Astyanax mexicanus: one gene and its partner. The protein of the gene in region 2 purifies or fractionates together with the protein of the main gene of each other region. This does not show direct contact. Links are inferred from orthologs where the notes say so. Each region holds a gene or a part of one and is shown on either strand. Other genes may lie near its edges. The genes, in order: snx7 and snx4.

Region 1 (12,993 bases), on a different chromosome or scaffold from region 2:
TGAGTTTCTGAAATGTATAAGTATATAAAATGAAAATATCTGCTATATATCTTGTAACAGAGCTGGTTTATTAAACCCTGACCAGCCCATCTCTAACGTGTAAAATCATATCATCTGTTTTGGTTCTGTCTGAAAACCCACTACTGAGCAGGCATGGCTCCAGGGGTTTGCGACTGTAACTGTGTGTGTTGTGTGTGTGTTCGTGTGTGTGTGTGTTTGTGCTTTACCCAGGCTTGTGCTGTGAGAAATATCTTGAAATCCTCACTGCAGGAGAGAATAGGATGCTCAGCTATTCTGTTGAGAAACTTGTGCAGCGCTCTCTTTCTGGTCTCAATGAAGTCGTTATTGAATCTCTCCACCATTCCCTTCATCACAAACTTCTCTGGCAGTGGCTGAAGCAGCACAAACAAGCCATTGTTCAGCATGACAGCAGAGAACAAAGGACATAACAAGGTTAGATTGAGTCGAAGCCTTGTATTTTTTGTTCAATGTTCAGTGTTACCCTTTTCCGATTAAATCCCTTTTTTTCTGTTTCTAAATACAAATTAATATGAATTTACATACAATAGATTAAGGAATATTTTTGTATTGTTTAGCAGGTGATGATAGTTCATTTGACCTGACTTCTTTTGATTCGATCAAATGAAAATATCATATATATTAATAAACATGAAAAAAGTTACAAATATTTAACCATCTCATGTAAAGTTCCTGTTTTGGAAATATGTTTTTAATATATTGTTTTTTGAAAGTGACAGTATATAAAGCACATAAAAAACAAGTTCTATTTAAATAGAACTTAGCACCTCTTAAATCAGTTAAATCACATTTTAACATATCTAGATAGAAGCCTGAAATGCGAATACATACATACAATGGCTGCATTTGCAAATGAGAGGAAAGATTGCATGCCTTCATCTCTAGATCACTTACATGAACAATAAGCGTGGGATGAGCCTCCTCCAGCTTGCTTTTTAACCAAAAGAAGTCTTGGTAGCGCCTGCGGACTTCATACTCACTGGAGTCAAACTCACTACGGGTGGTCTAATATCAGAGAGAGAAAAACATTTTAAGCATTTAGATGGTAAATGAAGTTGAATCCTTTTTTCAAGCACTAATCTGCAGAGTGTGGTTTGTGATGTACCTTGGTCAAAACCCTGTATGTAATAAAAGTCTCAATGGCAGTCACATGGCTTTCAGGGTTATCGACTGTGACGAAAATGTCTTTAGTGTCAGGCTGCTCTTCCTCCTCCTCAAACTTGTACTGATTGACCATTGAGCCAGGGGAGGTTTGCATGGAGGCATTCAAAGAGCCTCCGTCCGTGAAGGTTGAATCCTACAACAAGACAAGAAAAACAGACAAAATTGGGTTTGAGAGACAAAACTGGGCTCTAAAAAAATCACTCTATAGCTCACATGGACATCAGAACACTGACATTGATTTTACATTGCAGCATTTGTACTCTTCCTGCACTTATTAACTAAGTGACAAGCTATTACTATTTTGGATTTGGTCATAAGCTGTGCATCTCTTTATTGCAGAACACTTCTTAATTAAGCATTTATTGCGCTCTTTGACTGCAAAAGCAGTTTGTGAAGACTCAGTCAAAAAATTAAAATCATTCATGCTGTAGTAGTGCCAGTGTGTTTTGTCTGTGTATCCTGATCAGAGTTTCCCAGCAAAGCCTACTGCCTTATCACCATTCAATCAGAGACTCATGCAAATATTTCTCATTTTATCCAAACTCTCAGATAGATAGGTCAGATCTGTGAGGAAAAGCAGAGGCCTGCATAGTAGGGGTGGGAATCGTTTACTATCTCACGATTCGATTCGATTCCGATTTTGGGGGCCACGATTCGATTCAAAATCGATTTTTGATTCAAAACGATTTGAATTATAAAAATTTCTGCTTCTGGCTTATGAATCTTATTGAAAAAAAACCCTCCATAATATACACTGGTCCTGGAGCAGGTAATGTGTTACAAAAACAATAAAATGTGCAGGAATGTGGGTCCTCAGTGACAGAGGAATCACTGGGATATCACAATGACGTTAATGAACAATAAATAAATAATAAATAACACTGCTTTATTACCAGGCTACTAGCGGTGGTGTGTAGGTGACGCTGCTGGGCTGATGTGATGATAGCAGTGGAGCGCTAAAGTTCAGGAGCAGCTGCTGATTAACTAGTTAATTTAAGGTCGTTGTATTTCTTCAGAAAGGGGGCAGGAGGTGGAGAAATTAATTCATATGGTCCATTCCTTAATTCCTCTGTGATGAGGAGCTGAAATTAGCTCTGATTAGCTTATTGTATTTTTCCGTTCCGCCTTAAATGCTGCAGCCCGCTGCCACCTGTAGCGTTATTTAAGGTGGAACTGGAAAGTTAGCTAGTTAGCTAGCTAACAGTTACTGAAACTAACTACTAGCGATCTTTTTTATGCTTGTTATGAAGCATTCTGCCATAAAACATTGAAACTACACGTTAATCTAATGTAATATAGTGCTTGTTCTGCCATCTTACCGGTGATTCTCAAACACCTACGCTCTGTGTGTGTCTGGAAGATCTCCGTTTGAAAGGACAAGCGCTATCCCCAGGGTTGCCAGGTCCAACAAAAATACCCAGCCCAAAATCAGTCTAAAACCCGCCCCTCAGAATCGATTTTGGGACATTTTAAATCGATTCTGAATCGTAGTAAATGAGAATCAAGATTCTTATGTGAATCGATTTTTTGGCACACCTCTACTGCATAGCCTCACTGCTCCTCCTATCATGGAAGCTTCCTGTCAAAACAAACTCCACTGCTGTCAGCAGATTTCAGGAGGTCCTAAAACAAGGAATTATTAAACAAACTGCTCAGCAATGTCCAAGGTTTTCTGAAGGTTAGGAGAAAACACTCCTCCCCCCAAAAAAAGATAAATAAAATACCAAAAAAATTTAGGTTACCTAACCTTGCATTTTGCATGTTACAATAATAACCTATTTAGCAAATGTTACTCTTAAATATTACTCTAAAATGTAACTCTTCTAAACATTTGCCAGCATTAGGAAAAACATTGTTACAACAATTATATTAATGAAATATTCTAAAAGCATTAAGGTCCCTGACCCTGACAAATGAATGTTAAAGGAGCACTCTAAACATGTTAAACATTACACAAACGTTCTGAAAACAAAATTCAGTTATCTAGGTCAGCTATGTCACTGTAACACTTATCAGATTTATTTTCTGACCTTTCGAGGCTACATTTGAAAATAAAATATTGAGGGTAACATTTATTATTTATTTTTTTATGTTTGACATAACAAAGAAGAAAAATATATATATTTTTTCCATTTTTCAAGTTTCCAAATTCTGCACCCTCACAGTCTGAAATATTGAAAAACATTTTTTTCATTTTTGCACTTTGTAACAAAAATATGATGTTTTAAACCTAGCTACATACATTTGTTCCAAGATAAGTAACGTTAAATGGAAAACAGAACAAAATCATATTACAGAGTTTACTTTTTTTGTGTTGGGCAGAAATGAAAAATGGATGAAAAACAGTTTTTGACTATGCCAAATTGACAAAATCATATAATTAAGTTGTACACACAATATTTTATTTCAATATTTTGCCTCAAATTGATCATTCCTAAGCTATAAAAATGGAACTGACCTAAGCTAGCTAGCTTAGCTAACTAACTTACTAGCTTAGGTTAATCTTTTATTTGATTGGGCTGAAATGCTAATGGCTAATAGCAACAGAAATAACACTCATATCTAGCTGTGACCGGTCTGTAACCCTAGCAACGCTGGGACGTATTTATATATAGTTAGGTAGCAGCTATTTTAATCCGGTTACAGAGACTTAAATCATTACTACACTCCCTCATAGCTAACGTTAACTAGGTTAACTAACGCTGAGTGAGACAGGTTAGGGTAATTGACAGGTTAAGTCAGCATTTCTTGTGTTTCAGACACAGATAAACGGTGTAGAGAATTAGCTAAAGCTGTAAGTTAGTTAGGGTTTGGTATAATAACAATAACCTCAGCTGATTTCTGACCTTTGGACCCCAACACTAAACGTAAACACGGAAAACAACGCGGCGGCGACAAACATTAACAATGATAATAAGGTATTTTCCTTTATTTTTTATTATCTAAACTGTGTATTAGTATTAGATAGCATGTATTTGTTTGTATAGAGAGAGCTCTCATTTGTTATAGTTAGGCTACAGACTGAACTGACTGGATGCTGGGAGTGTCCACTTTTGCACACTCACTCCAACTAACTTAGTTTGAGCTTAGTTTGAAGTTAGATAGAATTAGCTAAGCTAGCTCAAACTCAACCGCTTCAAACACAATTTTACACAATTCAGTTTATCTGCTATAACGTTATATAAGTTACACATACACATGAACACACAGACAGACAGACCACGTAGCGGCAGCCATCATCACACTATTTATCTCTGTGGTCTCAGTGAGGCTAGCTCCTCTCCTGCTCCACAAGCTCTGAGACAGCGAGTTTTTTTACCTTACAGAAAACCTCAAAATCCTCGTCCTCGTCCAGTATTTGTCCTGAGAGTTCATCCGGGACTGCAGCAGTGGGACTGCCGCTGTCGACCACCGTCCCGCTCATCATGGCTCAAATCTCTCCTTTCTCTCAGATCAGCAGATCACTTCACTGATCATGATGCAAACTTTTCCGCCAGAGTGAAACTCTGAAACTCGGGCTGGCAGGCAGGCAGGCAGGCGGGCAGACAGGCAGGGGCAGCAGAGTGCGCAGAATCGGAAATACCATTTCAGGAAAGAAGAGCTGAATCTGCAGTGGAGAGGAAGGCCTGGCTGAGTGAGTAGATAGATAGAGCTATACACACAGAGAGAGAGAAAAAGTTCAGGTGGACAAACTGGAAAAGTAGCCCGGCCTGCTGGGGTAGACCCGGGTTCGCCCTGTGTGTTTCTAATAAAAATAACTAGTTAGTAAACCCACATTCACATAATGCACCGTCCGTAGCCTGTTGTTGATACTTCAGTTGAAAGCTTTCCAAAACATTCTAGAGCTTAAGGAAAATTAAACCCACTAAACAAAAACATGCTCCCTTCACTGTAGAACAACAGTGAGAGGTAACTTAGTAGTACAGAGTACAGTAAATGCAGCACAGCAATCACCAACATTCTACAGCTCTGAAAAAAAGAAAGCACTTAAATATTATGAGTTTCTTTGATTTTACCAAATAAAAAAAATGGATGATCCCAAAAGATGGATGATCACAAGCCATCAAACCAAGCTGAACTGCTTACATTTTTGCACCAGGAGCGTCATAAAGTTACCCAAAATCAGTGTGTAAGACCGGTGGAGGAGAACAAGCCAAGATGCATGAAAATTATGATTAAAAACCATTGTTGTTCCACCAAATATTGATTTCTAAACCATTCTGAACCAAAACTTTATGATTATGAACTTGTTTTCTTTGCATTATTTGAGGTCTAAAAGCTCTGCATCATTTTGATATTTCTGCCATTTCTTATTGTCTGCAAATAAATGCTCTAAATGACAATATTTTTATTTGGAATTTGGGAGAAACTTTGTCCGTAGTTTATAGAATAAACAACAATGTCAGTTTTATTTAAACATATACCAAAAAAGAGCAAAATCAAATAAACTAATTCAGAGACTGAAGTGGTCTCTTATTTTTTTCCAGAGCTGTATGTTTAAACTACATGTCAATGACAAAAGTGATAATACAAAAATTACTATAGAGTAAAAGTACCCGAATAAAAACATGTAAAAGTAGTATTTTTGTATAAACATGAAAAAAAGGTGCAGAAAAACTGATCTTAAATGAAAACCTACGCAGAATGAAACATATGTAAAATGTTTAAAATATATTAAGTACATTTGAAAAAAATGGCCTAAAATGTATTTGCTTTCCTGGGGAGAGCCAGAAAGATTCATCACATTTTGTTGGTCTTTACGACTGCACTCGAGGATACTTCCAAAGTTCTTGACTTTTATTTCTTAAAGTAGTTTTTTTCTTTACTTTGTAGAGTAGTTCTTGCTATAATATGGATTAAAACGTTATTCAACAGTATTCACTGTTAACCAGCTCTACCTCTTCACAACTTTACAACTGATGCTCAAACACATTAAGAGGCAAGAAATTCAAGTAATTAACTCTTGACAAGGCACAGCTGTTAATTGAAAGCCACAACAGGTGACTCAGCCTCATAAAGCTGACTGAGAAAATTCCAAGATCTGCAAAGCTGTTATCTCAGCAATGGGTGTCTACTTTGAAGTATCTACATTATTAGAATATAACCAGAATATAACCATATTCTGTTTTGTTTAGCACTTTTTAATTACTAAATTACTCCATATGTTTTTCTGCATGACCTGCAGAACTTTTGAAAATAATGGGAAACACTAAATTTTGACTGGTACTGTACATATTAGTAACTTGTCAAAACTGGTTTAATGTGTAAAATCAAGAGCTCTACTTACAACAACAGCACAAATTATATCACCAAAATATACGTGAAGGTAAAACCTAAATGTCTTAGAAAGAAAACTTTATCAGAGTTTAAGTATTTAAATGTAGAATGCTCATTTATAAACAGGTGGAAAAGTACAGAGAGCCTAATGGAAATTGAGCTGCATATAAAAAATCATACTCCGTTAAAAGTGGAAGTATGGAGCCAAACAGCATCTATATTTCAAAATCATGAAAACGTAACTAATTTAAAATGTAACATAATGAGTCACAATATGCTTTCCTGTGCTGTGGAGGTGTGTGTTGCGAAGGCTAATGGACTTCTGGAAGTTATGGGCAGTTTCATTTACATTGACATAAAGTTGATTGTATTTTTAATTGAAATGAAAAAGGTTTAGAGAAGTAAGAAACTTTCATGACCTTTAGGAATGTAAATGAGGTCTAAATGAATGTATCCCTTTTGGAAATATAATTGAGTTAGAGTTCAAGTAATTTGAATGAGGTCTGCGCAATATATTGTTTTAGCATCACCATTACAACGTGTATATTTTCAGTAGTCACATTGCTAGATGTATAATGTTACATGAGGTTTTGTTAGCCTATATGTCAAAAGTTTTTTGCTGTTTGATGCAAAAGGGAAATTCTCAATGTTCTCTTATTTTCCATGATATATTATACTATATCTGTTCAGTGTTGTATATTTTACTCCATTGTTTTAAAAAAATGGATTGAATCTTTAATATTATCACGTGTTGGATTGCTGACTTCTGGTGAAAAATACAATGTGTATAGAGGGCTGGGCAAGTAATTAAAAATCAATCACAATTTACATTCACAAACTGTAATTGACGCAGTCTTTCCCTTATCGTTAATTTTTATTTTCCTTTAATTCTGTAATATTTTTCACATTGTGTGTGGGCATGTACTGTCTTGTCAAACATAAAGCCATATTTGTATTTACATAACTACTCCCTATCCAGTGTATAACAAGGAAGCAATGTGGAGGAGAACTCAAACCCTGATTCAACTGAGCAGCTTAAGCAGCTTGTACCAAAATAAATTGCTGTACACTTGTACATTAAAGTACATTAACTATTTTTTCATTAATCATGATTAATATCAAATGTGAAAATAATTGTCATACTTTTTCCAATATTATGCAGCCTTTATTTTATTAGCTTCAAAGAAGTGCAACTCTTTTAAAGACAGAAACAAAGAACAATTAACTATGTAGAGTACAGATCCACTAAATGTTGAATTTATAATATTGAGTTGATTTGTCTTTATAATAAAGTCTGCTTTGATGGAAACTGCCTTATATCCTGTAAACAATTTTATTTACTAGTGCATCTAAAAAAATAGAATATCAATGAAAAGTTGCTTTATTTCAGGAATTCAGTTCAAAATGCAAAACTCATATTATATGGATGTATTAATACAGAGTGATCTATTTTAAGCATTTGTTTATTTTATCGTTGATCCTTATGGCTTACAGCCATTGAAACCCCAAAAATGAGGGTCTCAGAAAATTTGAATATTATATATTATAAGACCAATTGGTACTTTTGGCAGTGTGGGCAGTGTGTCAAGTCCTGCTGGAAAATGAAATCTGCGTTTCCATAAATGTTGTGAGCAGAGGGAAGCATGAAGTGCTGTAAGATTTTCCAGGAAAACACTGCACTGACTTTGGACTTGATATAACACCGTGGACCAACACCAGCAGCATTTCATTTGAAAATCAAGAGACCAGAGTCTGGAGGAAGAGTGGAGAGACACACAATCCAAACTGCTTAGGGTCTAGTGTGAAGTTTCCTCAATCAGTGATGGTTCAAATTTTGGGGTTTCTTTGGCTGTAAGACATAATCACCAACAATAAAAGACATGAATGATTAGATAGATCATTCTGTGTGTAATACATCTGTATACTATACACGTTTCACATTTTGAACTGAATTACTGAAATAAAGCAACTTTTCACTGATATTCTACTTTTTTTTTTTTTTTGCCGCACTAGTATATTACTTTTAACCTCATATTTACATGAGGTCTGTTACCTGTTTTGGTCATGCAGTTGATCTGCATCACCAAAAGATGTCACTGTAGCACAGCCAACTGCACAGCAGAGCCATCTGGCATGAAAAGTTTTCATGTGGCAGGTCTGTGTGTCTGTCTGGTTTTGTCTAGTGGTCTGTGCATGTCTGTGTTTTTGTATAAGTTTCTCGATGTAGCTTCATAATGAAACTCATGGCATTAGATACAGAAAACAATGTATTAAGAGTGAGAGAAGTGGTGCTTGGTTCTGCTTAAAGTTTGATCAAAGCTGGGAATGATACCTGTTCAGATTTATGTGAAGGCATGTATAGACTATGTACAATCATCAGTCAATGAATTCAGTAATCTGTTCAATTAGTTGTAATTGATGATGCTGTAATGAGTTAGAGCAAATCCAGGTTTCTATATGAATGAAGAAGACCTAAATTAAGATGTTATCTGGGAAGTTCTGAAGTAGCGACTGTAGTGTTTAATAGATCTATCTCATTGGTCTTTATCACAGTGACTTGAATGAATGTAGAGGGAAGGCAATCAGAGGTACTCTAATTAGAAAGTGTGGTGTAATATCTTGCTGGTACACACTGTTGATACCTGCAGAAGCTCCAACAAATAAGAAGTCCTTGGAATGATGCCACAACCATACAGATTGTGTAACCTTTTGCACAAAGCGTGAGTAGCATATCCTTCAACAATTCAGATTAGGCAGTATTAGAATAATTCTACAAAGGTCAGTCCTTTACTGTGCTCAACCCAGACTGGTAGAGCACCGAATGCAGAAAAGGTCACAGGCGCCACAATCGTATTGTCTTGCTGCCGTTTGATATCGTTTGTCTGTGAGATTGATATAAACCTGATGTTAGGATCACTTTTTCCCTGTATTTTTCTCCTTTTCCTCTCTTTTTTGTTTTATGTCGACCATCTGAGTGCAGCACTTCAGATATGTGTTCTTGATGATGGTTTTAAAGTGAGAGCTCAATGTGCTGGGCTTTGATGGAGTGCCAGCATTAGTGAGAGCCGTTCAATACAGGGCATTAATTGCTCCTTAATTGTACAAAATGTGAGTGATAAATGGCACCTCAGAAAAGGCAAAGTCTGCTTTTAAAAAGAGGTCTGGAACAGCTTACTCTCTGATAGTCTCTAAACCTGATTGGGATCTTGTTACTTGTTCTTCATGCATCTTAGAAGTCGAGATGTCACTTCCAGCACCTTTGAATGATGGGACACATGGTTCTAAACCCAAAGCAATTGCTCAAAACCCAAACATCTGTCAGTAAAAGTCTAAGCCCATAGTTATATTACCCTGCTTAACAAATTAAACAGCTTTTCTCTTTATCAAGCAGGTTTGGAGTTAGTGTTTTTCACATGATTTTCATGTTACATGTCAGAGATGTGATGCATAAAATAATGCAAAAAAACAAAAAAATTAACATTGAGGTTGAACAAGGATTTGTAGCCAGCATTGTATTTTACATCTCCACTTCTGACTCCTCTAATTCATGATGTTGGTTTGCAGTTGGGGTATAGAGGGACTAGTGGCAATGGGGCAGAAGCAAAGTCATGGCCCTAACCTCCAGAGATTCAAAGCAGCTCTAGCTGTAGCAGGCTGGCACCCAACACCGATCCAATGGCATCATCCCAAATCTGCCCCGGCGAAAATCCACACAGCACTGTTCCTCCATCAGTGGTGGTTAATAATTAGATCAGCATTATGCCACAACAATGGCTTACATAGATCAGCTCCTTTCAAATTGCATTTCCTTCCTGTCAGGGCCATTAGAGTGGCCGAGCAGACCGTCTTTCGAAAATCCCTTATTGCTGCTGTTTCAGAGCGCAGACTCTGGCTAGAGGAGGCATTTCAGACAATTATGTCTAAATACCCCCAAATATCCCCAAATATCCCTGAAACGTGGAATCTGTGCGATTTGGTGCAACAAATAGCTGGCAGGTCTTCACCATCTTGTGTAGTGGGGTGTTTTTATACCCTGCATCAAGCGCGTAAAACAGCAAATGAAGATGATTCCGAGCCACCTGGAGTGAGTGCAGAAGTGAACAATTAAAAATCAATTTGCTGTCAAAAAGCTTTGCTTTCTAATTAAAACCACATGCAGACTAGCATCTCTCACCACTGGCGGATGCGCAGTTGCAAAGCACACATTTATTTATTTCCTTTCCCCCCAGACGTGTGCTCTGGTTATTATCTCTCTTTTTTTTACGATTTTTCATCCTTTTTGCTCCTGGAGATTTCCTGAATTCAGATGGGAACCATTACATAGGATTTCATATGGATGCAATCATGCACCTAAATGCATTTTAAATGTGACTGCTGCTGAATTCCTACCAGGTGTCCAATCCAACAACTGTGGCTTGATTATAACCATCATTAGAAGCTTGTACACGTCATATTAATGATCACTCATTACACCATGCTTCTGCTGCTTTCTGCTTTCCTTTTTTTGTTCCGTTACCAAGCTACTAGTACCTACTTCTGACCTGCTTTCTCTTCATTTTTGAAGGAACGCTGTACCACATCTTGTACAAAGACCTGGCATCTGCCATCAGTTAGCCTGCTTCGGCCATTATGTGTTACAATGGCTTCTGAAGAAGGTCTAAAGGTTGGCTAATAACCAAGCCTCTCCTCAAGTCATCTGCTCGCTGGCACTAATGGGCAAATATGGGCCTGAACTAGTGATGAAAGATCTGCTCTCATTCTGCTCTCATGCATGCATGAAAAAAGAATATCGGAAATCTCTAATTGAGTTCTGAGAAATTCACAATTTTTCTACACACTAAAGAAAGAATTCCCGCCTTAGGTTAAGAGGAAGCAGTGATTCATAGCATTTAAAGCAATCAAGGCCGGATGCAGAAATTTCAGCTTTCAGGGAGACGTATTCAGACATACTGTTTTTCAACTCACAGTGCTGACATTTTTCAAATGTCCATGTCCTTTTTTCAAAAACGCAGCACTTTGTGTCCTTTTTTATTACTGCAATGCTGTGTGTGGCTCAACATATTGTGTTGTGCCTTTTTTCTCTCTCTTGTTTCTATGCAGACCCAGCCACTACAAGAGTCCTACTACAAGACTGTACAGCGGTCTTAATGACACTGACAGCAGTGCCACACGCCAGTGCCCCGCTCGCCTTCCAAATGTCCCACAACAACCTGCTTTAATGGCATCCTCTAATTAGAATAATAATGATTATCTTGAACTTTCAGTATGTGGACCTCTAACCTGTGAAATCTAATTAAGTCTCCTCCGCAAACAAATAAAAAAAAGCATTACTAATCAATCAGCCAGAAATAAGATAAATTGGAATAGAGAGGCGAGTGATTGCAGGCTGAGCCGAGGAGATAAGGAAAGTAGAGAACATGCACAAGTGCGTTCAGCGGAATTCCAAATCACCGTGTCGCACGCATGCCAAGCATCAGGTGTGGCTGCTGCTGTTTCTGAGTTCATTGTTCATTTCTTCCTTTATTTTAAACACGATGCCGTGAACGTTTGGTGGGGCAAATCAATCATTTTTTCCTTCCTTCCTTCCAAAAAAAAAAAAAAACGAAATGCAAAAAACAAACCTCAGTTACTCTTTTATTATTTTATTAAATTTCAATTACATTTAATTACATGCTCATTTAAATACGCATATATAAAACAACCCACAGAGCACCATGTTTCCGAGATACGTGACGCTCATCCACAGAGCCAGTGTGTTCTGTAGTTTACTCTCCAAACTTGAGAGTCTGACAGAAGGCTGGGTTCAGGAAGCGAGGGGACAGGCAAGCAGGGAACAGAAGGAGGAGGGTGCTGGATGAATGTAGCCCAGGCACACGGCACAGCTGACTTGATTTCAGTAATTAGGCTTATGGCTGCTACACCGTCATTTCCTAGACCTTATGCCCACACCTCCTCCTCACACGCCGCTCATTTCACTTCACTTCGCTTTCAGGAGTTTTATTAATAACAGCAGTGGTCGTTTTTAGATTCTCAGGACAGTCCCTGTTTGCAGGTTTTAAAGATTTATTTTAACACAGACTTTAAAATAAAGGACCACAAGTGCCTGTAAGATGCACACAGTGTAAAAGTCCTCTATTGAGAAATTGAATCATATCTGCATTTTTATTTATTTATTTAGTATTCACCAACTCCTGAGTTTTACTTGTGTTTACATATTATATAGAGCTACCAATAACAGTTTACACCATTTGATATTTCACAGTTTTTTTTTACTTTAAAGACGAACAGTTTCCCCTGATCATGCAGTGTCACCAAGTATCCCAGCTAGAAAAGTTGGATTAGTAAAATGTTAATTGAACACTTTGTACATTAATTTATTGTTGTCCTAATTAAATGTGAGCTCTTTATGTTTGCTAGGCATACTTTTTAGAAAGTAAATAGAAGTCCAGCATTTAACCTTTTTTATTTTCAGTGTAAATTCAAAAAATATTATATTCTATGTTTAAACAAATG
Region 2 (13,095 bases):
TTGAATATAGTGGAAACCAGTTAGGATAAACCGCATGAATGAGGTACTGTTATTACTTTTCTAAAATAAGATGTAATAAAACCATTTTGACAGCGTAATGTTTTCCTTAAGGGAAACACTGACTTGATGTTATCAGCTGAGATCCAACCTCAACCTCACGGTTGAGCACCAAGTTCTCTCACTGTGTACCACAAACTCCAGCAGCTGAAGACAAAAAGTAAGCAACCAAATGTAGAATGCAGGGTAGTGGATGTACCAAGCCTAAAATATACTTCTACATATACAGAGATATTGAGAATCTTTCAACAGGGAAATGCGAGATTGCTCAATGGTTTAACCCCACGTCCAAACTAAACAGAGCAAGCGAAGACAAAAACAGAAATCCGCAAAGTTTTAGACGGCTAAGATGTCGTCCACAAAGGCAGACATCTTAAGTGCCTGTTCAAACACATGCCAGAAATTGAACTGTGACGTGTAATCTCAGTGAATCCCCAGTGCCTGGAACCACAAGTGCTTCTAATTTAGGGGCTAAGTACACAAGTATAAAGCAGAGAAAGCAGGGATGGGGGAGGAATGTTACTATATCGTTTCACTACTCTGCACAGTCTTATACTTAATGAGAAGCACGTAGCCTACTTATTATGCAATAATGCACTTGGCATAAGCACAAAGTAGAGAGAGGGGAGAGAAGTTGAGAGAGAGAGAGTAAGAGAGAAGGAGAGAAAAAAAAAAGAGGGGGACAGAGAGATGATGGAGCCCACGAAACAAGAGCCCAGGATCCAGAGGACTCAGGGGAGGAAATGAGAGCACATAATGGGGCTCTATGCTGAAAACCCACACCACAAAGGCAGAGGCTCCACACTTGCTGGGGGGCATTCTCCATCCCAACTGCGTGACTGCGCTCAAAACCCATTTACCCCAAAACCTCCAAAACCCCTCTCACTCTCTCTCCCTGAGCTGCCTGGGGTAAATACGTACAGGCTGTGTGAGTGAGTGTGTTTATGTATGCCTGTGCGTGTAGCGCACTTTGCACAAACCCTTACAAAAACATGCGTTTCCTTTCATGGGCCAAGCTAACAATATACAGCTCTATATAACTCTATTCAACTCCAAGGCCAAGTTTGAGCTAGGGAGATTTTTTTTTTGTTTCCTGATGCAGCGCAAAGCAGTACTCAATATATTGCTATGTATTGTTGGCAATAACCTGCTGACATGGTTCGTATAGGCCCAGTACAAGAGAAACGATTCAATATACTGTGATGTATTGTCATACTCTGAGCAAGATGATATACTGCACTTTTTATAAGTGAACTTTTCATACATTTATGTGAACCATATGCGCAAGGAACCACTTTGTCAATAAAGAGTTATATTTAAAAAATGCCACTTAAAACTTTACTGAACACAAGAGCATCCTTATGACAACCATGCACAGAAGTGGCGTTAACTACTCTGGGCTCAGAAGCATCTGGGATGGATCATGACACAGTTGAAATATATGTATTGTGGTCAGTCAAAACAGGATTTCAGATTTTTTATTGTTTTTTTGTTTTCTTTAAATGCAGGATGCAGTGAGTTCTAGTCCAGAATGTAACTATCAACAAGTCAACAAGCCAGGGCTTTCGCAGAGCAAAAATGCTGCTTGCAAAACCACATCTTTATCAGGGACATCCATGCATTTTTCTAAAAGACAACGCAAAACCACATGCTGCACAAATTACAAAGACATGGCTGCAAAATAATAAGGTACAAATAATAGACAGGTCTCCCTGCCTGCAGTCCTGCATCCTACAAATGCCTTCCTTAACAGTTCAATTTTCCTGCTGGGTAAAATCTCTCTGCTGTTTCTGCCATGACTGATTGTATTTCAGATGCTGACCTGACTGTATGCGTGCTTAACGCTGACCACAGAACAGCCCTGCTGAAACAAGAGCACACAATTCGGCTCAGCTCGATGTTAGATGGAGTGATAAAAAGGCAAATGTTGTGATGATTATCAATGCGTGTCATGTGACTACGATTCAGGCAAGCATGTGTCTGCAGCTCTGCAGTAAACACGTTACAGAGAGCATATGGCTGCGGGAACTGCTGACTCTGCCAAAATGTCAAAAGTGGTATGTCTTGATTTTTTTCAGCACAAAGCTTTTTGGGCAAAAAAAGAAAGAGAATGTATGATGGGGGTGATAGGGAGAACTCTATCCCACAATCTTTTTTTCTGTACATGCCTGCATCCTGTGGACAGACTTTAGTTTAGGGTCTGTGGAGAAAAAAAAAAAAACTTGGAACAGCTTTCCAGCAATGTGATATGTTTCACACTCTCGCTGAAGGACTAGTGTTGCTTTGCACTGGGCTGTGGTTTCTCTAGTAACCTATAGACCCAATAATGAAGTTGTAATAGTAGAAATCAGAGATGATGTAATGCAAGGTTCTCTATTTTGATTGACAAAGTATGAGCTAAAGTATTTTTACTGATATTAGCCGGGCATTGGACTAGTATCATGTGCCCTGCCCCATGGAAGCTAAAAAAAATTGCACTGACCTGCAGGATATATACGTTATATACTGCATTAAATGTGGATGTGAATTTTGAGTCACTTGTCTCTCTGTACTGACAATTTAAACCAGATGCTGCCAGATGCTACAATCATTGAGTTTTAGGATTCATTTCAGGTACACACATGATACACACAAAACTTTAGAAAGGAACATCCCAACCATCTTTCACTACAATATTTAGGTTGCCTTTCCATATCTCACTTACAATATAACATCTTATAAATACAATGGTCTGGGCGTTCCGAAGTCATCCCCAGGGGTAACACTTCATGATTTGTATAACGAAAGCATGCTCGTTTTCTGTAATTTCTCAAGTTAAAATTATTTTCTCATGGATTATTAGAGGTCTCCTATTCACATCCGCATTTTTGCTACTAAACTATGCTACTAAAATAAACACATACATTCCGGCATTCTTAGTAAGTAACATAAGAAACCTTACTTTACAACTATTTTTGATCAGAAACAGAAATCTCAGAAATATAACATCTAGGAGTAATGCTTAGGCTTGCATTTTGTATCATAAATGACCGGTAATTTGTGTGTGCAGGGTTTGTAACAAAAGTCAATGACCCAGAATGTAGTGATACTAATAATGCACTCCATGCATCTCCATATATCCCAGGACTAAAGAAAAATGAATAATACTGGACAGATATACTCTGTCAGTAGGGTTTAGGTCAGGGGATTGTGGAGGCCGAACACTTTATTTGTTTACTATGTAATTTCAGATGTGTCATTTAATAGTTTTCATGTCTTTAATAATAATCTACAATGCAGAAAATAAATTAAATAAAGAAATAAGGAACAACAGTGAATAAGTAGCTGTGTCCAAACTTTTGACTGTTACTGTATATATTGTACATTCAGTGCCATAATGTAAATATATGTTAATAATATTAAGTTAATATTTACCAGTATTTATTTTGCATCTTTTTAGTATATATTGTGTTTTAACTAGTACAAGAAACGTTTCAATTATGGCCTATGTTTTTTATTCTCACGCTGTTCTGATGTAGTGTGATTTACCTCGTTTCAATGAGATAAACAGTGTAGGTTTCCTGCATGCTGACTGCATTCTTCCCTGTCCTTTTCTCTGCCTCAGCCACATTGATCTCCATCCTCTTCAGAAGAGTCGCCCCCTTCTCCACCATCTGTAGGACACAATCAGAATATGATTAGCATATCTATTTCATATGGAAAGGGGAAGAGAGTAGAAGTACACATTTTACTAGTTTTCTATCCCACTGTGGTTAAAATATAACCACTAGTGAATCTTGTATAGGTGTTAGTGGCAGTGCTGTGACTGTCTCCGGGTCTGTCTTTGTGAGTTTCTCTGGTACAGGACAGATCTGATGACACATCACGAGGTAAACACTCTCTGTACCTAAACACACATAGCTAACCTGCTTTAGTGGCTAACTGAGCTTTATGACGGACATTCTACTGGACAGTTAACTATTTTAGAATTTGTGTAAAGTGGCCTGACACATGATTTAGTGAAACTAAAGAGTGAAAGCCAGATAACTAGCTGTTTCCTGAGCGAACTAGTCAACGAATAGAAAAGTAAAAATTTTCCCAGGCTAGCTAATGTTAGCTAGCTGCGATCAGGGGACGGGTGGATTGAAACTGCTGAGAACCACCGAGTATAGTATAGTAAACTATCTGTACATAATCAGAGGTATCTGAGCATGTTCTGTGTAATGTGAGGTGCTGGTCAGGTGAGCAGTAAGACAGCAGTGCTCACTAGACTCAGACTGGTTCAGACTGTTTAAAGCTCCAGCTGTTGAGGCGGATCAGACCGCCAGCTGTCCGCCCGCCTCCCCTCTCACTCTCCCCCGGCCTCCCTCAGCCCGAACCACCCGCACAGCGCGGGATTAGCCGCAGCCCGAGGAACCGCGTTTCCGCTCAAATCAGAAAATAACAGCGATCAGTTTACCGTGTTTTTAATGTTGTTCTCTAACTCGGAGGGAGTCAGGTCTGTGTTTCCAATCACCGCTATCTCTTCGCTTCCCGTATCCGCCATCATCCTGAACTGTGGTCCGGCTTCTGCGCATGCGCGTTTCTCCCAGTCCCATTTATTTATTTATTTATTTAATTATTTAATTATTTATTTATTTACTGATACTCTGTAATGAAATTTTATATTTATTGAATAAATAATAATTAAAAAAACATTTAATAATTTCAGCAAAAAACACACACGCACGCACACACACACACACAAACCCCCTAATAAGAAATAAAAGAGGGAAAAATGGGTAGATGATTATGATTAATATTACAATGATGAACATTATTGTTTTTTAAATTAAAATACTAAATTATATACCTGCTTGATATTGTATTTAGGTTTATATTTATTTTCTGTAGGCTATTAATTCACATATTCTATTTTAAACAGGGTTGAATTAAATGCAAAATTTATCGCATGTAATTTATAATTTCTAGTCATTTGCATGTTCTGTCCTCTGCGCTAATTATGTAGGGGTTTGTGATAATATTATATAAATAAATGAATAAACAAATAATTGCTTGAAATGAAAAATAAATATTTTAAATGATAAAGAAATAGTAGAAAAATGTTTAAATTATTTAAATTGATTCATTTCATTGTTTAAATGAAAATTATTTTCTGTAATTAAATAAAATGTTTAAATAATTAAATCTCATTTAAAATATGTATTTATAATTTTAAGCAATATTTTTTTGATTTATGTATTCATATAATATTGTCACAAAACAAAATCCATTATGCTGTCGTATCATTGCAAATTTCCCCCCGTGGGAATATTATTGTTAAATTATGATTGTATTTATCTTAGCTTATTCATATAAAATATACAATTATATAATTCATATAAATTAATATAAAATCAGTGTATGTGTTATTAGAAATTATGAATTTCATGTAGCCTAATTTTTATGTGGTGTACATATGCATGTAGTTTCTAAATATTATATTTGTAGGTAAAATAAATGTATAAAAATATAAAAAGATTGTTAAGAAGAGAAGTTAATACTGTAACTTCTGTAAAGATACTCCATCGGCAGGAACAACTATACACATCTTTTGTCTTTTTATTAAATCAGTATCTATGTTTAATTATTATATAATCAATCTCTAATCTATATTATTTCAGACTTCATGTCGGTAAAATGCCGGTACATTCTCCCTCATTCCTGCAGGCTTTGTTTATGTGCACATGCCTCCAGGCCTGTGTTCACTGGGTTCAACGTGTATCTGGTCTGTTTTTATCAGTTAAAACTAAGTTTTAAGAATAACCTATATCTTTGCAAACCTCACTGTACTACTATAAAGTCCTGCTCCTCTAAAGTTTAGCTCTGTATCTCGAGTTGATAAGGCTGCTGAAGAGTGAATAGGCTTTTAAAGGATCTACTACATGAATAAAGTGGAGTTCCTGGGCGGGCCTCCTCACACAGCTGGATTAAAAACATCTGGATCCGCCTACAGGGAAAGGCGAGCCAGAAAGAGCCTTCAGTCCCAGCAGCTCCTGCTCCAGCGCGTAGGACAGAACCGATAGCCGCTCATAGATGTGAAGCTAGCTATCTTTGCTCTGTGGGAGAGAAAGGAGTTAGAAAGGAGAAGTTAGAAGAAAGGAAAGAGTCCAGCAGCTCGGGGAACCTTAAACGGAGATCCGTGGCTCGGGATTATGGGGCGCATGCGCTGCAGCTTCTCGGCTCTAACATCTGTTCTCTTCTCTCTGAGTGAGTAGGAGACTTTAGCCTATCCTTACTGCTGTACAGCCAACTTCACAAAGACTTCACCTAAATATACACCTTCTCTTCAGCAGATATCACTCTTTATAGCTAGTTCTAGTTGTATTTTAAGAGAATGACAGTCTACAGCAGAAGGTGGAAGACAAAGGCTTAATCTTAATACTGTAATCTGTTATCTAGTTTAGCCTCAGAAAGTGGGAGCCCTTTTTCCAAGAGCTAACTTTACCCAAAGAGACATTTCCCTCAGCACAGAGTAAACACCATCAGACTCGGCTTTAAAGGCCATTCATCAACCTGTTTGACTTTAAAAGCACTTAAAAGCTAAAGCAGTTCGTTTTAATGTGTGTTTTAAACTCTATTATATAGACTTTTTTGGTATTGTCTCATGTGTGCATATTCTCTTATTCTATATTTCGTCACCAGGCATATACACTATTTTGCTGCTTGACTGAGTTTAGTGTGCAGTTAGATTTAATGTGTACAAGTTACAGTGTTTTTTTAAAACCCTGAACTCCTTTGTTTCACTGATGATTATTCATTAATAAGCGTCAATACTGTATATCTTAAATCGATTATATTTTCTTAATACTTTATAGTTAACCTTACCCAATGAGATTCCACAGCATAGAGAGTAAACACGATTAGACTTAACTTTACATGTGATTGCTCATGCTGTTTGACTTAGTTTAATGTGCAATTAGATTTAATGTGTGGAAATTACAGTGTTTTTTAAACCCCTAAACTCTCATAGATGATTATTTACTAATAAACGTCAATAGTGTATAGATTAAATCGATTCTATTTTCTTTATACTTTATAATTACCCTTACCCAATTAGAAATTTTCATACTCATTATCATACTCAGCTTAAGATACCATTGTTTACTCTGATTTGACTTAAAAGCACTTATATTATTAAGTATAGTTAATGTTAAGAGAATATAGTGTTTTTCCCGCAAACCCATTTTTCTCAATGAAGATTATTTACTAATAAACTTCAATACTGTTAATATAGTTTAGCTAGATTAATCATGCATACAGAATATTATTTTCTTTATGCTTCTTAATCGACCTTACAAAAAGAGATATTTCCTCAGCATAAAGAACTTTACATGCAGTTGTTTATGCTGTTTGACTTTCACTCTACTATTCCTTTTCTACTACTATCAATTTCTATTGCTAAGTATTGTAAGATAGGAATACACAAATACTATATGTTACAAAAACATAAGTACAGTTTATTATACATGCATATATACAGCACCTTATACTGTAAGTGTTGGGAGTTATATAGTATTACTATAGATCTTTGTTGGTTGGGACAGTTTATGTTTGAGGGCAATGTCCGAGCGGTGTCAGTGTGTTCCACTACTACTGTATGCTTTTATCAGTCAAGCAAAGGAGAAAGTATTGAATGTCTTACATTAGCTTGTGTTTGGGAGTGGCGGTCTTTTCCTTGTCATGTGACAATGCTTGATATACATTATAATAAATCTTTTTCAGCATAGAGAGTAAACAATAAACATGATCAGACTCCGCTTTACATGCCATTGTTTATGATATCTGACTTAAAAGCACTTATTTTAATGTGCAATTATATTTGATGTGTAGAAATTAACGTTGTTTTTGCTTCGGAACCTCTTTGTTTCATTGAAGATTATTTACTAATAAACCTCAGTACAGTAGAGTTATATAGATTAATCAGACATGCAGTATTTCATATGAGATTAACACAGAGATTAACAGGATTCCTCTAAAATACTATTACAGTATTCAGTTTAAAATCTTGTATAATTACTGTAGTTTAGTATCATATTCAACACAATTAATACATATTATTGTAAAATATGATTATAGGAATATTATAAATTATTTAATATTATAAAAGAAATATAGGTTATTATAAAATTATTGTATAGCCCCGTATAATTGTAATGGTTAGCATATCTTACTGCTTTACAGTCAACTTTACAAAAACCTTGCTATTCTATTTCTCAGTAGATATCACTCTTTACAATTTGTTCTAGACACGTTTTTGTAAAATCTGTTAACTGTTATTCTAGTCACAAAGTGGGAGCACTCCTCTCAAAGAGTTACCCAAAGAGACACTTTCCTCAGCATAGAGAGTAAACATTATCAGATTTGGCTTTAAATACTATTATTCATGCTACTTGATTTAAAAGCAATTGGTTTATTGTGCAATTAGACTTAGTGTGTGTAGAGATTACTGTGTTATTGTCACTGAAGTTTTATTTTAATGTGTAGTTATTTGATTTTGTCTCATTGATGGTTAATCACTAATTCAGTACAAGATAGTTTTGAAAGATTAATGAAACAAGCAGTGATTGGTAGGGTGCATCATTTAGATTTAATTTATTTCACATATGCAAGAACTACATAAACTACAAGAATTTGAGCAGTATTTTTATAAAAGTATATATACAGCACTATATACTCTTAGTGTTATACTGAAGTGTTGGGAGCTGTATAGTATTACTATAGATCTTTGTTGGTTGGGACAGTTTATGTTTGAGGGCAATGTCCGAGCGGTGTCAGTGTGTTCCACTACTACTGTATGCTTTTATCAGTCAAGCAAAGGAGAAAGTATTGAATGTCTTATATTAGCTTGTGTTTGGGGGTGGGAGTCTATTCCTTCTCATGTGACAATGGGAATGGACCTCAGGTCATTAAACTGAATATTATATTTAATTCTGCAACTAAATAACTAGTTCTTATTTCATATTAGTTTGTTTTAGTTTGTATTTCTCCTCTACTCCCATAAATTGGGCCTTTTGACCTTCAGCATCTCATCATTTACTGTATATACTGTATATTGGCATGATCAGCAACCACAAATATAAGGGGACTGCAATGATACATTATTAAAGATCTACTGTTTTGTTTCTTGACATAACTGTACAGAAACTGTCTGTTCACAGTATAACTGGAGGTTTCTTTTGGAAAGTGTATGTTCAGGGACGTGCATGTTGTGAAATTAAACCCACCACCCAAATATTATAATTAGAAGCAGGATTTCTGCTGTGCAGATGAAACAAGTCAACAGAGTGTGACCACGCTGCAATGTCACTGTATAATATGCAGTGGAAATTTCCAGCAGGATATCCATCTTGAGGCTCCAAATTATCTTTGTTGCACAGCAGAGGCCCCCTTAAATGGAATGGGTGTGTGAGCGAGCAGTTAGACCCTCAACAACAATTATGAAATATTACCATGTGGGTGGAGAGAAGAAAACCATAACCTCCTCGTCCCCTCACGCCACACTCTCTGACTGTTGTTGGAAATTGCTTCTGTTAAAAATAATTCTGGTGAACTCTGAAAGGGGGCAGAGGGCACGCGTGGAGACGTGGTGCCAGCGCTGATGAATGTGGCCACACAAAGGATTTGCAGAACAAATCTGAAGAGCCTGATGTGCTGTTCTCCTCGCTGCCCTGCCATCACGGTTCCGTACAATGCTGATATTGTCAGGCCTAAAGTGAGGGATATGATGCTGACAGGCCCGGAGCCACCCTGTGGCTGTAAAGACCCGTGATGGCCTGCAGAGAGCGGAGAGTGGAGACACACGCCGTTGTGTTTTCTCTCCTCTGCCTACTTGAGACAAGTCCAGAGAATTGTTCTCTGCAGGCCTCGGCCTTGTCTGCTAACCCAGAGAAGAGAACCACGATGATTAGAAGTTAGATTAGAAGATAAATGGCTATTTATTGTTTGGCATGAGATAACAGGCCCTGCATTGGCAGCTGTGGGAAACCTGTCTCTTCTGTCTCCAAATGAATTTAGGGGGAAGGGATGTGAGTAATGTGGTGATGATGGCACCCTCTCTTTCTGTTAATCTCGCGAAATTAGCTCAGAGCTTCGTCTTTCAGAGCCGCTGTAGAGAACAATGGATTATTGCTGAGAGGGTCTGAAGACATCTGTATGTCACATGCGTGTGAGCGGGCCTCTGAGTGATGTTATGATTATGCTGTTATTAATTTATTCAGGAAATGCTTTCAAGGAGCATGCTGAGTTTAAAGGCCAGTAAACGGTGGCCAACATGCCTCCCAGTGGCTGAGTTTGATTACTGCACTTCAAAAAACAAGGTTTCAGTGCAGCCTTTCTTCACTCATGAGGCCTGGACAGAGAAATGAAAGCTGGATTTCTCCATAGCTCGAATTAGTTTATCTTACCAAAAAAAAAATCTTTCAGCTTTTGGATAGGCAAAATCAATTCTGGGGTAAAGTTATCTTGCTAAACTGAGAAATCCTGTTTTGATCATTCTCCTCCTTGTTTAAAGGCCTTTGATTATCTACATCATCCCATCAAGCAAGAAGCATCACGTGGATGTTGTTTTTTGGGCTACATCTTGTTGGTCTGTCACAGCCTTTATTTTGCCAGGAAATACCCTTTAAATATTGGTTATTGTTAACTCCAGCTGAATTGGTTCACATTTAGTCCAAGATATATGTTTTTCCAGCCAGCATAGCATTAGCTAACCTTAACCTGGCCCATCTCTAAAAGACTGAAAAATACTGCAGATTTCTTACTATCAAATACAACTCCATATCAGAAAAGGGTTGGACAGCATGGAAAGTGCAAAAAAACAGAGTTTTTCTCACATTTCCTTTGACTTTTGTTTGATTGCAGACAGTATGAACCCAAGATATTTAATGTTTTATGTAGTCAACTTAATTTAATTTGTTAAAATACAATTTGTCCATCTATCTATTCATCCATCCAATGAAGTTGAACAGATAAACATGAAAAATATTGCGTTCCTACTGTCTGCAGTCAAATAAAAGTCAAAGCAATAGTAAAAAACTCTGTACTTTTTCTAAATTTGCATTTCTAATACTGTAATCTGTGGTTGTATTATACATTAAACTAAAGCTTGAAAACTAACAGGCCCCTGCTCTTAAGTCTGTATTATTTTTGGCCTCTGTCTTCACTGAAAAGATAAAAACAATGACAATCTCTCTTCAGAAATTGCATCATGCTGCCCTGTGTCATACTGAATGTTCATTTAGTGTGTTAGAATGGGCAGACCTGCTGAATTACAAGTAGAGAATGGAGAAGAGCGCATGCCTGACTGCAAAGCAAATAACTGCAGGCCAACATCTCTGGGCCTCCTGTAAGCATGTGGCCTTTGGATTTCCCATAAGTACAGAGGGGTTGTGCTTCAAACTTGGCCCGAGTGAACACTTCTGGCTTCAATTTATTTCTGGAGAAGTCACTGCTGATTTTAATTACTTTAAAGTTTGGAGAGGGGGCTTTTTTCTGCTTATGCAGCCTTTTAGTCTTCTTTCTTACTCTCTCTCCTCTCTCGTTCTCTCTCTCTTTGTCTCTCTCTCTCAGTGACTTGTATATTTTGATGGTTGGCATCAGCGAACATCTGGAAGTCTTTGTGAAATATCTGTGCAGCTTCTTTTAATGTTTACTTGGTTCTGTTAGATCACCACGCTCTCCGAGTGAAGGAATCCCACCCCCCATCTGCTTTCAATCCACAATTAATAGTGTTGTGATGTGGCAGCGTTAGGATAGCGGAGAGAGGATGCGTGGGAAGGAACGCTGCATACACCCAACATGACCACAGTCACTCACAACCCCCCTCCCTACTCTGCCCCAAAACACACACACTCACACACACACACACACACACACACACACACACTCACTGACAACCAAACTGAATCTGTCCCAAAACACATAATATATACTGTATAACATCCAAATCCACTTAGCTCTCTATAGCCTCCAGATGGGGCACAGCTCTCCCCAAAGGCTCGGCCACAAATTCTGCCTTGATTGCAGTTGTCATTACGAGTTTCACTGCTCCAAACATTTCTCATTACAATCATCATTTTCATTATGATGGTATGATTGCAGAGTAGACAGCAGGACACAATCAAGAGCACGCGTTCAAACAGTTACGTTCTCTCTCTTTTCTTATGAGGATTCTTGTTTCAGAAATAGTAGAAATTAAGCTGCCATTAGAAATGTGTGTGTGGGTGAGTGGGTTGAGCTTGATAGTCTACAATTAGAGGCTGATCTTAAGTAGCATGACCATATTTATATTTTCCAAAAAAAAAGAGGACACTGGGGACACACAGGCATTCATTGTGGTTTGAATGTTGTGATGGGGGACTTAAAATAAGTTGTAGGACTGTAGGAGTGTGTATGTTTGTGTGAGGGAAATTAGAATGTCTAAAATCAACTATATTAATAATTATGTTTTTGAATATTATTATTATATATTCATTTGTTTGCCAAGATGAAAGAAATTATAATATCATATATTCCTATTAAAAAAAAAAACGTTTTTTGTTTTTCATGATTTGTGAGACTGACTTGTGTTTGTTTTCATTTGTGTTAAGACATTTTTTGGCTGAGGACAGCTGGCTATATTGTGAAGCATTTCGTCCAATGGTTAATCTGGATACACAGGGCTTTAAGAGTTGTAGATAGTTAAAACTGTATGAATCTACACATAGATTGTGTGGTGGCTGCAGAAGAAAATGCTACATAAAATTAAAGAGAAATCTCACACTTTACACAATTAAAACTCTAAGTCAGATGCAATTTTCTTATCACTAAAAGAAGAATTGTCTGGGAAAAAGAGGGTGTATGTTTACCCTATCTTAAGTAGATAGAGTGATAAACTTCATTGTACTTTAATTAAACATCTGATTAGCTTTTTTTTTATCCTAACATTTTCCCAAAGTAAAGTCATACTCTAGCAAGCAGTGGGTGACAGTACAGAAACCAATTACTTGACTTAGAAATACTCAGAGAGATACTTTTACC

The links.
Region 1: the proteins of snx4 (region 2) and snx7 purify together in Homo sapiens (affinity purification with mass spectrometry; 3 studies listed by BioGRID and IntAct, counting the BioPlex papers as one, with this or other methods). This does not show direct contact. The link is inferred for Astyanax mexicanus from reciprocal best matches to the Homo sapiens genes SNX4 and SNX7.

The regions. Positions count from the first base shown.
Region 1 is NC_064413.1:37,366,769-37,379,761, reverse strand, and holds the start of snx7 (sorting nexin-7), read right to left. Parts: upstream 4,763-12,993; 5' UTR 4,631-4,762; coding exon 4,523-4,630; intron 1,337-4,522; coding exon 1,145-1,336; intron 1,045-1,144; coding exon 934-1,044; intron 393-933; coding exon 228-392; intron 1-227. UniProt on the Homo sapiens protein: Involved in the regulation of endocytosis and in several stages of intracellular trafficking. Together with SNX4, involved in autophagosome assembly by regulating trafficking and recycling of phospholipid scramblase ATG9A.
Region 2 is NC_064418.1:37,870,138-37,883,232, forward strand, and holds the start of snx4 (sorting nexin-4), read right to left. Parts: upstream 4,621-13,095; 5' UTR 4,586-4,620; coding exon 4,496-4,585; intron 3,711-4,495; coding exon 3,586-3,710; intron 1-3,585. Other genes in the region: tgfbr2l (TGF-beta receptor type-2), read left to right, coding at 6,231-6,285. UniProt on the Homo sapiens protein: Involved in the regulation of endocytosis and in several stages of intracellular trafficking. Plays a role in recycling endocytosed transferrin receptor and prevent its degradation.